Linked DNA regions of Danio rerio. The protein of the gene in region 2 purifies or fractionates together with the protein of the main gene of each other region. This does not show direct contact. Links are inferred from orthologs where the notes say so. Each region holds a gene or a part of one and is shown on either strand. Other genes may lie near its edges.

The links.
Region 1: the proteins of anapc11 (region 2) and cdc27 purify together in Homo sapiens (affinity purification with mass spectrometry; 8 studies listed by BioGRID, with this or other methods). This does not show direct contact. The link is inferred for Danio rerio from reciprocal best matches to the Homo sapiens genes ANAPC11 and CDC27.
Region 3: the proteins of anapc11 (region 2) and anapc4 purify together in Homo sapiens (affinity purification with mass spectrometry; 8 studies listed by BioGRID and IntAct, with this or other methods). This does not show direct contact. The link is inferred for Danio rerio from reciprocal best matches to the Homo sapiens genes ANAPC11 and ANAPC4.

The regions. Positions count from the first base shown.
Region 1 is NC_133178.1:20,775,465-20,780,585, reverse strand, and holds part of cdc27 (cell division cycle protein 27 homolog), read right to left. Parts: intron 4,686-5,121; coding exon 4,560-4,685; intron 1,883-4,559; coding exon 1,785-1,882; intron 1,690-1,784; coding exon 1,517-1,689; intron 1,132-1,516; coding exon 920-1,131; intron 430-919; coding exon 318-429; intron 1-317. UniProt on the Homo sapiens protein: Component of the anaphase promoting complex/cyclosome (APC/C), a cell cycle-regulated E3 ubiquitin ligase that controls progression through mitosis and the G1 phase of the cell cycle.
Region 2 is NC_133181.1:24,264,886-24,269,771, forward strand, and holds the end of anapc11 (anaphase-promoting complex subunit 11), read right to left. Parts: intron 1,740-4,886; coding exon 1,598-1,739; coding exon of another isoform or gene 1,594-1,597; intron 1,521-1,593; coding exon 1,505-1,520; 3' UTR 1,395-1,504; downstream 1-1,394. UniProt on the Homo sapiens protein: Together with the cullin protein ANAPC2, constitutes the catalytic component of the anaphase promoting complex/cyclosome (APC/C), a cell cycle-regulated E3 ubiquitin ligase that controls progression through mitosis and the G1 phase of the cell cycle.
Region 3 is NC_133195.1:26,086,064-26,091,184, forward strand, and holds part of anapc4 (anaphase-promoting complex subunit 4), read right to left. Parts: intron 4,749-5,121; coding exon 4,665-4,748; intron 4,597-4,664; coding exon 4,510-4,596; intron 4,339-4,509; coding exon 4,274-4,338; intron 2,669-4,273; coding exon 2,626-2,668; intron 2,528-2,625; coding exon 2,451-2,527; intron 2,385-2,450; coding exon 2,284-2,384; intron 630-2,283; coding exon 578-629; intron 489-577; coding exon 433-488; intron 1-432. UniProt on the Homo sapiens protein: Component of the anaphase promoting complex/cyclosome (APC/C), a cell cycle-regulated E3 ubiquitin ligase that controls progression through mitosis and the G1 phase of the cell cycle.

The DNA.
Region 1 (5,121 bases), on a different chromosome or scaffold from region 2:
GATTTACAATACAGTTTGTAAAGTAATATTTTCTACCTATAAGTAGATATATGATATGAGAGACTTGATGGATTTGCATTGTAAACATTAAATAAAAGATATTTTATTTCACATATTAAATTTTTAGTTATGATGCTCCCAAAATAATTCCACACAAATCCGCCGATTTTTTACAAAATTCTTCACAGAAATAGCAAGAATAACCGCAGATTCTGTCTTGGCCCTACTTACAGTTATAGCAATAAAAACAAAGATAGTTAGCTACAATTAGACACTAGTACTTTAATACTAATCTGCTATAAATAAATAAGGCTTACCTTCTTTGGGGGGCCAGGCGCAGGAGGTGGCTCCATCCCAGTTCCACTGTGACCATAACTCTGCAGGTACGCTGGATCTCCTGGGCTTGGCTCCAGAGGCAAAATTCCAAAACTACACCATTTAAACAGAGAGACTAATTACTAGACTAAAAACATAACAGATCAAAGTTCTTCACATCCATGAAGAGAAAGAATTAATGAAGAACGTTTGTTTGTCATCCCAGCTTCTATAACTACTTTTATTGCAAGATTTTTTTTACAATATATTTATGATTAAAAACTATTTGTAATAAAAAGGCTAAAATAGCTTCTAAAACATTTAACTGAATAAAAAGATGTTTTAATTAGAAAGAATTAAAAGCAAATGCGCTCCAATTAAGCATGCTTGATAGTTAAATGCTTTAACAAATATAGCATGGTGGAGGATCTACTCCAAGTATTAAAGACCTGTCATCATGCAGATCCCACTGGATGGAGAATTAAGAGAGTTTTTTTTACCAACATTATAAATAACGTACTTGGAACTTGGAGTAATCTTCTGCATGATTACCTGTAGCAAATATCGGTCTTAATGTCCAATTAAAATCTCAGGAGCTCATTACCTTGGAGTGAGGGGACTGAGCGTGGCTGTGCCCCCCAGTAGACAGCGGCCACTTTTGGGTTTATTCTGAACCTGTTTGGATAAGAGTGAGCCACTACTGCTCAGTGGCACAGAGTCTGGCGAAATGACGGAGGAGTCGATGTATGACACAGAGGAGTCCGTATTCAGAGAGTACTTGGAGTTAGAAGATTCTAGATTGAGTCGGTTTTGCTCCTTTAAAGAAAGAAAAACAAACAATTGCATAAAACAAAGATTAAATTGTTTACGTGGACACAAATATGCTGATGACTCAGAAAAATGCTTTCTGAAATAACCAGCTGTCATGGGTTACAGGTATACCAATAACCCACAGACATATGATTATACGAGGGCAAAAAAAAAAGAAAATACAAGTCAAAATGGTGCATTCCCTCTTCCCCTACTGTAAATGTTTGCTATTTCTAGATAAATATGTCATTTTTCTGACATCACATATGCACGCTTCAATAAAGCTGGGTAATGATGTTACATTCTGGAAAAAATTACTGTGAGGCAAAAATCTAGCTGTGACAATTGGTTTATGTATATAGCCTTGTACAAAACCAGACGACAGACATACCAAAGTTTCCTGTGGGGTCTCCATTAGGACAGTGTCGACTTGTCTGTGTCCCATGTTGTTACTAGGTGTGTGCGCAGGGCTAATGGGAGAGGGAGGGATGCCTCCTCCACTGCCTCCACTAAAATTCTGCAAGGAGGTCAATCTGAAGATTTGCTCCGGGTCTGGCCGCTCCCCTGTAGGACAGAGGGGCATGATTTAAACTCATATTCTCAGGCATCTCCTGAAGAAATATTGCATAGCTTGAGGTTATTCTGAGAAACACGCTTACCGATTTGACATAATGACTCGAATGGAGACCATAAGAAGGGGTTCTCGCTCATGCTCTTTTGGTAACATTCTGCTCCTTTTGCTATCCGATCAGTTTTGCTGCAGGGGAAAGAAAGCAGCATTAGTTTTGTGTATGATTGCCAGCAATTTAGTAGCAGAAAATTAGGGTTGCATGATATTGGGGGGGAAAAAACAACAACCTGACATCGCAATATTTAGTTTTTCTTCAGTATATTGCAATATTAATACAATTTGACCAGATGAACTGAATAGCTTTGTTGGGTAATAATTCAACATTTTTGATTAATTGGAATAAAAGGCTGTGCATCATTGGGGTAGATCTTGTAGGGCAGTGCATCTGCATAAAATATAATAAAAATATAAGCATAAATGTACAGTATAGCAATGACACAAGTAAAATAAATAGTGCTTTATAATTTTCTGGTGTACAGAATTAGAAAAATTCAAACTAGGGCTGGACACTTAAGTGAAAAGAAACTAAAATTCATAACTTATAACCAACGAAACTTCCCCATGTTGGTCATTTCGGTTATTCATTATTTCTACTTTCTCTTTAAAAACATACCACCCTGTGTGAACCATGTTCATGTCTGACACACCATAAACTCACTCTTTCTCTTATATAGGAGAAAAAAAGAGAATCTCTCAAACATATAAATCATATTCTTTGTAGCTGGCTTATTTGGTATTGGAGATAATTCAAAGGTCAGTGCACACATACCATGCACAATTTCACTTCAGCAAATCAGTTTGAGTGAACGCAGACAATGGCATTTATATTCAGAAGCAAGACAGATTATTAGTAGCAATAGATCATTAATTTTTTATTTTAAATAACCCATGTGTCAAGCTGCAAGCAACACCCTTTCCAGCTGCTTATTCCTTTACTTCTAAGAATATGCCACAGTGATAGTACAATGACTAAACTTGCCAAGGTAAAACATAAGTTACATAAATTTTGTAAAACAAATATTTACAGATTTAATAGGTTTAGGTTTACTATTTCCAGTCATCACATATGAAATGTATATAGCTGACTTTTCCTAAAAGAGCACAATTTCATTAGAAAGAGATTTCTCACCTTTAATAGTAGAGTATATTTACAGCACAAAGGATACCGCATTAAACGATGAAAGGTAAAACAATATGTAAATAAATAATTACATTGAAAATGTAAAAATAAAAAACGCAATCAATAATTGAAATAATCAATTTAATTTAGAATGCGCTTTTCTAAAAGCCAAAACACTAAAGAAATCAAGGTAAAGTGGTAAATCAAAAGTTTTGAATTTATCGCCCAGTTCTAAATCAAATAACATTGTATTGTCTGCATTCTATCAAATTACATACAGTTATAGTTAAAGCTACATAAACGTCATAATTGTGCCCAAATGCTTTAACCTCAAAATTCTTAGTCACAAGCCTTAAACAAACATCCAATTAAAATGACAGTTTACTCTATTATGGTTCAACTTTACAGTGACTCTACAAATCATGCATTTTTAACTGTGGTGCAGAAATCCAAATTACAACAGGCTGAAAATGCACTTTCATTTTAATTAATTAAAAAAAATAATAATAACAGTAGATTAAAGTGGAGCATCTCATGTAAAGCTGTCGAGAATCCCAGCTTCTGCTTGTAGTGAGAACAAAGTGAGCACAAAGAAAACTTGATGTCTCAACATATTCAAATATTACTTGAAGTCACTGATTTAAACATCTGCCATGTCCTAGATTTCAAAGTGACCCACTTCATGCGATCAATAAAAAGCAAGCAAAACATGCACACTTTTGGATGTGTGCTGAATGAGACACGAGTGTGTGTACAGCGCAGTTCCCAGCTTCCCACATGCCACTTTAAATAAATTTGCTTCTTAACATTCTATTGAACATCCCTACATCTTGGATGGCCTGAGGATAAAGAGATTAACAAAAGACTCTTAATTTTTTGGGATGAGCTATGCTCTGTGAGGCAGTTTACACCAATGTTCATGTACTTCGAAATTAATTGTTGATGAAATTTGAAAAATAAATATCTGCTCATGAAGGGAACAGCTGATAGATGTAGCTTTCAAAGGCAATTCATGTTGACATACATGCTTAAAATAGAAGTTCTAGTAAATTGAAACAGTGTCAGTCCAGTTTTCAGAGTGGAAGTTCAGCTTAGTGTGGTTTAATTTTCACTGCTTAAAAATTTCAAACACTGAAGAGCAAATGTTTGTGTTTCGTGCCAGTGCTTGGTGAATACTGATAAAGTGATGATCACTGAATCCAAATCCATTATATCGGTTGAATGTGAACACTGGCCAGTCTGCAGTGTTTAAGAACCGGCTCAACAGCACTCAAATGTTAGCAGGGAGTGGACATTTATAAATTTCCGTACCAAAAAAACAAAGTAAGTATTTTGGATGACCCTACTTTACACAACATCACATGATTCATTAGAAAAGGAATCTCCCATAGAAAAAAAACAAAGGAGCCTCTGTTACTAAACAACCTGCCACCAGCTACCTGTAGAAATACTGAATTCAAGCAATCTTATGGTCACTGAGCACATCAAAAAACTCAAAACAGGCTTGGTTACCACTAAATCCATTAAGAGCTTTGTACCAGTCGCCTTTCCACAAATTAAACAACAATTTCTCACTAACAGCTCTTTGCTCAACAATAACAGCAGAGTAGATATCTTCATAGCTTCGCTACAGTTTACGGATTTCAGCAGATCAAGTTTAGAAGCCAAACAAGCTCAACATACCAGTAAATTTGTCCGAGCAATGCCAGAGTGAAGCAGGCCGAGTCTCCAAACTCAGTTATGATGTCATCTTGACTTTTCTGTTTGTTCAAAACTCCTCCGGTCAGGATCTGTTCTCCTTCTGCCAACCTGACAGACAATAAACAACAATTAAATTAACTAAAAATTACAAAAACATTGAAGAGCTTCATTAGACATGATATGAATCTAAAAAGAAGGTGAAGCCATTACATTTATGGTAATGAGATTTATTGCTTCCAATTCTATTCCTTTCTATGACCAATACTAATCTTTCTATTGTATTGATAGTTCTTGAAGTCATCTCACTTACAGACTGCTACATTCAAAATACATTGATGGCATGAATGTTAAATTAAATCAGCATATAAACTCATACACTTCTAAGCAAGATTTAAACTGCTTGATTCAGTCAAAAACAAAAAGGATTCATGCAACATAAAATAAAAAACAGAGTATAAAATAAAATATCAAAAAACAGAGTAACTCAGCATTTAACTTTGAAATATCCGAATAGGTATCAATTACTTTGAAACAAATAAATCTT
Region 2 (4,886 bases):
ATGCCATAACTCTTTTTCAATGTAATGTTAACATATACTTTCAATGTGAATTTATGTTTTGAGTTTTTACAGCAAATAACATCCATAACGCTCTTCTTGAGAAGGTCTTTATTAGCATAAATATAAAGATTGTTAAACGAGCTTTAAAACTAATTTTAAGGTCTATCTATCTATCTATCTATCTATCTATCTATCTATCTATCTATCTATCTATCTATAGATATATAGATAGATAGATAGATAGATAGATAGATAGATAGATAGATAGATAGATAGATAGATAGATAGATAGATAGATAGATAGATAGATAGATTCTGTAGCCTAGATTTTTACACTTTAGCATTAGAGTAAAATAAATAAATTTGCAGAATTTGTTAGTAGAAAACAAACAATTATATATATATATATATATATATATATATATATATATATATATATATATATATATATATATATATATATATATATATATATACACACATACATACATATATATATATATATATATATATATATATATATATATATACAAATATTTTTTTTTCAGGAATTTGTAGCTTAAGCAGTAATATGTTTCATAGAATAAAACAAAACAGTAATTAAACCATTAGTTATTAACAATAAAGACTGATAAACGTTTTGCAATTTCTTATTGTTTTGCTTATTTGTTTGATACTTGGGTCAGATGTTAAATCTACTGTATTTAGATTGTAGATTGATAATACAATTTGTACAATATAACAACCATTATGCCTCACAAAACAGCAAACCGGACATGTGAGTGCATAATGGGCCACTCTAGATGATGTATATCACTTTCATTTAGGATTTTTCTTTCTAATTGAGTCGACTGAATCTATTATATGATGTTTCATCATAATTTTTTTGATCATCATTTGTTGACAATTTCTAGTGCATAATTTATTTATTTTTTTGCAATATATCGTTTGAATTTAAATGTATTATCTTTCTATACCTGAAGGTGTTAGGTGAAAAAATATAGCTGTTTTGTTTAAATGCACCAAAAATTTTGTATATATTTGCTGAGAAATGGATCAAAATATAATTTTTTAAAAGGGGTTGTACTCGTATATGCTGAGCACTGTGTATGTATTTCCTCTCTAGTTATTCATCTTTTTATCTCTTTAATCTTAACATTTTAATCACTAGGAATAATCTTTGCAAAAAATAAATCTCCGTAGTAACTTAAATTCTGCCAGGATATCTTACTTTTGTGCAATACCCTTAGGACTGTTCTGCATTGTAAATAATAACAATTTTCACTTTTGGTGACCCAACCCTTTAATTCAGTTCAGTTCAATACAAATGTCACTGTTTAAACATGATTTACTAAACAGCAGCTCCACCAGTCTACAAAAAAAATCATACCATGTCATTTTTCACCATTTTATTTTTGGGACATTTAACAAGGAAACATATCATAAACAAACTATAGATAAAAACTGATACGACGCAGCATTTATTTCTGTGCAATTAATCTCCTCAGGAAGTGTCTCCCCTGAAATTAAAAAGAACTTCATTAGTCAAAGTCCAATATTTTAGGATATTATGCTATTGCCTGACAGGCAAGCTCACTCTTTAAACTTCCACTCCTGACGGCACATCGGGCACTGCTGCTGCACTTGCTGAGAGTTCAGCCACTTCAGGATGCAGTGCATGTGGAAACAGTGTGAACACTGACCCCAGACCAATGGACAGTCATCTCCTGGAACCTTACCTGTTAAAAGTAAAAAGTCTATTTTTAATATATTACGCGTTAAAAAAAAATGAACGCAGTTGCAGTTTTTTTTTTTTTTTTACTTTCTGTTGTTGTTGAAGTGTGTTTAACGTGCAAAAAATATGAATAAGACCAAGGAAGCACTTTTTGAAGGCAAGTTTCAGTATAAAACATTTAATGTCGCATCACCAGGCTCTCCAGAGTTTCATGCAATTTCGGGTGTTTCGTTTTTAACTTTCAACTTCTGTTTTAATGGAATTTGATACCACATGACGAACGGAAAGAAAAACCTCAGCATTTCGTGACTCTGTGGTCCTTTAAGATAATCAAAAATTGTTGCTTACATGGTAGACTCTTAATAAGAGTATTATCTTAATAATATTAAAATCGGAGTACTGGTGTCCATGTACATACTCAGAACGTGTCAGATGAAGTCGCGAGTTTTCAAAGACAGCGCATTCCTCTGCCTTTCAGTATGAGCCCTCCAATGTTTCATTAAGTTTTGTAAAGTGTCTGCCTCCCGTTGTTGTGTCAGAATCCTTATGAAATACAGGCATACTTTAGAACACTTAGTTTAAGCAAATTTGATGAACGCGATCATGCGTGTTGAATCTGAAGAGAGTCGCTCCGGCTGCCCTGTCCTGACCTGCGCGCATTTTGTGTGCATATGTATGTGTGTATGAGTGTGTGTGTGTGTGTCTGTGTCAGGCCCGTGCACAAAGCACAGACCCTTACAAGGGCAGGTACTCAACGCGATCGTAAAGTGAAGAGCAAATGCCTCCTGAGAGGGGCACCTCAGCCAATAAGGGCGGAGGGGCAGTGGCTCTAGCCAGAGGGCCACCCCCCTATGCATGGCCCTGGTCTGTGTGTGCGCGAAACCTGCCTAAACGTTGTTGTCTGTAGCCACTAAATCAAAAAGTTACGAATTGCCATGCAATGAATTGCATTTCACTCTCAGCTCACATTATTCCAAAAAAAAAGGTCAACAGACTGCATTGTCTTAGCAACTGGATGAATGTAAAGGAGGACTAAGCAAAATTGTTTCTACTTTATAATTAATGTTCTCAACTCACAGCAATAAAACTTTACAATGAGTACAATTGTTTGTATTAAATTCTTTATTGTTATTATAATTTTCCATTTTCCATAACTTCGATGCCTGTATTTTGGCATTTTTTTTGCAGAATCGAACTTGGAAATCATTTTTTTCTTTACTGGTATTGATTGTTTTAAAATTAAAATGGCATTAACACACAGAAAATATGAATGTCAAGCCAGCATCTTGATGGATTTGTGTGGAAATGTTGTTTACATGAAAAAATCTGTGTTACGAGTTATACACAAATTCTAATAAACAATTATATTTTGAATTTAAATAATTTTTGTCTTGCGTTTACATTAAGTTTACATTTGAATAGCCAAAATTACAAGTTTCAGTCTTTTAAATGCAAAAATTTTTCCAAAAAAAGTGTGATTAATTCGTTTTTTTTATTTTTATATTTTAATACATTTTTAAATCGATTGTCAGCACTAATATATATATATATATATATATATATATATATATATATATATATATATATATATATATATATATATATATATATATATATATATATATATATATATAATAAAGAGGGAGGTGGGTGAAATTACGAGACTTTTTTTTTTTTGAAAGAAATAAAAACGGGATGTTTGCGGTAGACTGGTCTGAAATATGTGATACTCCCATGAAAAATGGAAGTGTTGGCTGGTGTGCTTACCCGTTTAATATTGATTTAATCTGCTATAGTTGGAAATCAGACTGTTATATCGTCTAAGCGTAAGGGCTTATGCGGTTCTGCCGCCATCTTTTGGTAGAAAGCGTCAACTGCCGCCAACGAGCTGTCTCAGAAATTGTAAATATTTTAAAATAGGCATTATTCTTGCAAATAAACTGCATAGTTGCGATCTAAACAACTACATTCTTGAAAAAGCCTCAAAAGTATATTTTGTTGTGTAACAGCAGTAATGTTTGTCAAACTGTAGTGTCTGCTTGTTGCTGGCTGTATGTGGACGGAGTAATACACAAAGGGTAAAGAGGCTGTACGGATGCTGATATTACTTAAATATATCACAGCTATCAGCCAATCAGATTCGAGATCCAGACAGAACTGTTGTATAAACATACATACACACACAACTAATGCTTAAGGCATTCCAAGACAGGCACCATCAAGTGTATCTGTCTGCGGACTGCAAGACAGGTGTAGTTGGTAAGAAAGGTGTAACTTGCAGCTATCGAGACCAACTGAACCATGCAAGATTTCATAACGAGATGTTGGCAAGATGGCGAAAATACTTAACAAAGAACAATTTTTTACCAAATGTTTTTATGCGTTTTCTCCAAATGTATCTACAACCAATTAATATGCTATATTATTATATTCATTCATTTAGCAACTCTATGCAGTTTATTTATACGGATAATGCCAATTTTTAATGTAATTTCTGAGAGACAGCGTGATTTCAGAGAGATGATTAGCCTGTCACGAAGCAAAGACGATTGACAATGTCCATCCACAAGATAATAACCCCTTGGAGGAGAAAAACGCCATACAGTAATTTCTAACTATACATGATCAAATTATTACTAAAAAGGCCAGTGACATTATAAGTTGATCTCTCTCTCTTTTATGTTTTAGTGCTGTATTTATTATACTATAATTATATTGTAGTGTATTGAGTGGGAGATGGGACTCGGATCAGTAATGTATATATTTTGTGTTGGCCACTCCTTGTATAACCCCAAGTAACTTTTTGGTTGGCCATTTGTTTGTTTCTAATGAGTCTCCTGTTTTCGTTACTGCAGACTGGTTCAGTAAAAAAAAAAAAAAAAGAAGAAATATATGCATTTTTTCCACTAATATACATACACATATATATATATATATATATATATATATATATATATATATATATATAGGGTGGGCCATTTACATGGATACACCTTAATAAAATGGGAATAGTTGGTAATATTAATGTCTTGTTTGTGGCACATAAGTATATGTGAGGGGGCCAACTTTTCAAGATGGGTGGTGACCATAGTGGCTACTTTAAAGTCGGCCATCTTTGTCCCAAATTTGTTTTTTCGATAGGAAAAGGATC
Region 3 (5,121 bases), on a different chromosome or scaffold from region 2:
GTTTGTGACCACTGGTCTATATGATTGATTAATTTAATCCTCCATTCAAATGATTAGTACAAAACAACACATTGTTTTATTACTGTATTATTTAACTACAATTATTCTTATACATCTATTTAACTATTAATCTTATAAAAAACTAAACCCTATACATTTTTTCAGATCATTTTTACTTTTAAAACTTGAGTTAAATTGTAATTTTAAACAAATTTTAATAGGCTTAATCATTAGGTGAATGCTTTTTGGACTTTCTCAAGACCTTTTTTATGGATTACATCCTCTGTGTCAGTTTGCACATTGTTAAAATAACAATACTTGAAATCTAGCAAACTTCCATTAGGAAGCTTTAAGTAACACTAGGTTTTGAATCAGAGACTTGACTACATTTATTTGCAAGGTAAATCTCACACAAAAAAAAATGCTGCTTACCAACATACAGCCATCTGAAGAAGGCTTTGAAGTTCTTCATACTTTTATCGATGACTCTGAAATACAATCAGTAGAGAAGAGTTTTATAATGAATTATACAGAGCAGACAATAAGATCACAGTAGACAGAATAACAATAAACTCACTGTAAAAGTTCGCTGGCCTTCAGGGTAAAAGAGCCCACTGCTACGATGGCATCTAAACCATAAACAAGAGAGAATGCAAAGAAAATATCTTTTAAATATCAAACATAATTCCAATTAGTGTGAACTTTTATTTAAAGTATGTTTTTAATTGTCAACTGGATATTATGCAAGCAAAAGAATGCACAAAATATGATCAGATTAATCGACTATCTGCTGTTCACCAAAACTATTATTATTGTTAACTGAACAAAGTCTAGATTAAAATAACCATGCGACTACATTAAAGGATCACAAAACACCAAAACACAATTTTTTGAGATGTTGAAAGTGATATTTGTGTCCTACGCGTGAAAGTGAAAACTGGTTGTTTTGCATTATTTCGAGCAAATTAGATCTTCCGGTTTGAAAATAAATTTCAAAACTACGTCACGGCCATGAGATTCTTGTGTAAATACCAGAGTACAGACTGGATGTCTGTACCGGCTAGTACAAATTGACATTTTTTAGTTTTTATCATTAACTCATGAGAAAGACTTGGTTCGAACCAATCAGCGTGCTCTATTGTGTGTGAGGTGTAACTTCATTAATATGCATGATAGCTTCGAAGACTGTTTTTACCTGTTACGGTGTTCAGAGAGACACCACGTTGTATTTCCAACCGTAATTAAAACAAGTGGAAAAAGAAGAATTGTTTTGAGACGAGGGTCACCAGTATTGCACAGCATTAGTATAGCACAGTGTGTGGACCCACATATGTGCATTACAGTGGTCTGCTAACACGCAATAAAAATATGTTTGTAAGGAACATTTCTGTACCGAAGAGCTTTTTGCATATGTATATAGTGAAATCCAGAAAAGCCACTCGTTTCTTTTTTAAAAAGTTGGAGTTCCAGTTGGAGTTGATTGTCCTGTCTTTAAGGTTTTAGTAAGTGTGTGATCAGTGTTTGTTGTTTATGTTTATTCAGATGGCAAAGTTAGTTAGTATCATCAGCAGTACTCTTTCAGTTTTTAAAGACATGCCTTAGTCAAAATGATTAAGTTACTAAATTTACAGTATGTTAAAATCACTACAATATTATGGACTGATAGATCCGCTGTAAATGCTGCTCTCCAAATGTAAACACATTAATCAAACTAATATCATTGTGTTGGATTTTCACCACATTTTTGTGACAGGATAGTCTATACACACACGGCTGTTTAATGCTATTCTCTGCACCTACCTAGTCTCAAGCATTAAAGGAACATTTAAAAGCAACTCATGTAAACACCTTAATCTTATTATTGTCTTTTTCAGATTAAAGCAAATAATTTGATTACTGATGTCCTTGTAAAAGTAATCACAGTCTATCTCCCTTGTGTCCATGTTTGCGTTGCCGCTGTGAAAATCAGCTGTAGTGCTCGTAATGAAACTCCCCTTTTCATGCAAACCCTTCCCTCTTTTTCCACTCGACACTCCCGCCTAAACAAAGCTGGACTAACCCACTTTCCAGACATTTTTCAAACTAGAGGTCTGAAAAGACCCTGCTGAGAAAGGGGTGGAGTCATGGCCCTTTGATATACATATTAGAATTAAATATTAATGCGCATAACACATAAAATGAAAAATATATAATATATTGTTGAAACTGATTCAAAGTATTCATGAATAATAGAATATAAATAATAATAAAATAATTAAAGTCTACAAACAGTGATTGTTTTACCCTCTATGTCTGAAGGATCCAGGCCTAGAGGCTGAAACTTCTGCTTCCATAGAGCCATTCCTTTGACCTCGCTCAGGTGATAGAGCAGCGCCTCAGAGCCACTATGGGAACAGCAAACACTGATCATGCTGATCGCTAACACTCTCTATCAGGTGAACAATACCCACCTCTGCAAGTGACTGATAACAAGTTTCTGAATGCTGGAATAGGAAGAATCAATAGACTGACCCAGCATCTTCAAGCCCTGAGTGGTCAAATAACAAAAAATGTAGTTACAATGAATGATGTTGGTAATAATCACTAAAGCAATGTAAGCAGATAGGATTAGCAAGGTAGATTTACCTTGACTGTGAGCTGATTCATGAGAAGAGCCTGAAGTTCAGGGCTGAAAGAGAAAACTGCATTTATAAAGTTTTAAAAAAGTAACATCAACACATCATCATCAAAAAAACAGTACTACAGCTGTTTGTATTCAGGCTGGAGATCTAAAAAAAACCTGAACATTTTTTTCCTTAAAGTTTTTTTGTTCATCCAGAAATAAGGATCTATGGGGTGAAAAAACACATTTTGGCTTATTTCCCTACTAGTGACAGCCTTTGGATAATGGTTGTAAATGAATGTATTGTAGATGGTATTTTTTCAGATTCTGTCGGTAGCTGTAAAAGTTTTAAAGTCACATTGTGCCCTCTGTTGGTCATTCAGAGCAAATACAAGCATGAGAAGGTTGACTGTGGTACTTCTCAACCTTTTTGTCTTCAAGGCATCCCACTGAGGCATATATTTACATTCCAAACAGAGACAAGATGTGCCATTTTGGTGTCCACATTAAAGGAATAGTTCACCCGAAAATGAAAACTCTGTTATCATTTGCTTATCTTCCACTTGTTTCAAACCTGTTCCAAAAAAGAAGATGCTTTGAAGAATGTTGGGAAGCAGCAGCCACAGCATTTCTGTTCCCACTGTGAATGTCAATGACTGCAGGTTTGCAACATTCTTTAGAACATATTGATTTGTGTTCAACAGCAAAAAGAAATTCATGAAAGTTTAGAAACACTTAGGAAGTATTTATATTTGTTTAGACTATCACTTAAAATTACATTAAACAAAAACTGATTTCATGTACAGTTAAATCAAAATTATTAGCCTCCTGTTAATTTTGAACTATTTAAAAAAAAAAACAAGTGCTGCTGAACAGAGAAGAACACATTTCTAAACATATTAGTTTTAATGACTATCTTTTTATGACTGTCTTTGCAGTGATGACAGTCCATCATATTTTACTAATTACTTTGCAGGACACTGGAATTCAGCTTAAAGTGACATTTAAAGGCTTAAATAAGTTTATTGGGTTAACTTTGTACGTTAATTTAATTAGGCAAGTTATTGGATAAGTCCTGTAACCAATCAAAAATAAATATTTCTTAAAGGGCTAATAAACCTGGCCTTAACGGATTAATGTAAAACTTCTTTTATTTAAGCAAAACTAAAAGAAATAAGACTTTCTCCAGAAGAAAAAATATTATAGGAAATACTGTCCTTGCTCTGTTAAATATTACAATAATTTCTTCGTTTTGCCCTCAATTGTACATAGAAGAAATCTAAAATCTATGTGACATGTCTACTTCAATATAATACAATTTGTTTTAAATATATGATTTAAAAGTTTATTTTAAAATTATATCAAATACTCAGATTTAAATAAATAAAAATAAATAAATAAAATATACGTGCTGCGCTAACACGAGACTCTTATCGCGCAACAAAAAAATATTGCCGTGAATGTACTCTCAAAGTTGGTTTGGGAGCTGGGTCTATTCTACGCAAGCTATGATGACTTTCACCTTGATATGTATACCTGACCGGTGAGCCGTCTGACAAAAAGTGCCCTTCTGAATGAAATCAGCAGGATGCCTGACTTTAACTGCAGTTCGGCAGTTTCACTTTAACTCATGAATGAACATTTCATCTATTTCATCTATAAATTGTTTACCTTGCATGGCCCCATAACAGCAGCTCCAAAAACTCATCCTGAACCTGAGTGCTTGTGTTTTTTTCCTGTAAAACAACACTGCAACTCATCAACTGTTCTAAAAGTTTTAATAAACAAATCAAAGCCAGTTAGGATAGCTTCAGTGGATCAGTCCATTATTGCAATAATCAACTGTGGTTTAAATGTCTAATGAATGCCAGTGGTGTCTTATAACTGCTTGTTTGTTTTGAACTGACCTGGACAAACTTAGTGAGGCGGAGGTCCATCTGCATAAGAATTTCCTCCCATGCTTCACACATGCAGGTGAGAGAGACACGCAGATACTAAAAAGACAAAAGAGAATGAAACATACTATCTGCGCGAGAACAGAAGATTATAAGAAGACAGTCACCTGTAGCAGTGTTGAGATATGTGTGAACTTGCGTGCCATCTTGGTCAGTTCGGGCAGACATGAAGACAGCAGCCCAGTGTCCAGCTACAATACAATCAATCACAGTATCAGAATACACTATTTGCTGTTTTAATACATGTGAATTTGTCAAATTATCAATATATAGAGCAGGTAATAACGGTCAATATGGTATTTATTAATCTATTCATTTTATTTGTAAAAATAAATATATAATACTTGTAAGGGCTATATAAATATTATATATTTTGTATATGGGTCAGTGATGAGACGTCCTCTTTTGATATACAGTTGAAGACAGAATTATTAGCCCCCCTTTGAATTTTTTTTCTTTTTTAATATTTCCCAAATGATGTTTAACAGAGCAAGGAAATTTTCACAGTACGTCTGATAATATTTTTTCTTCAGGAGAAAGTCTTATTTGTTTTATTTCGGCTAG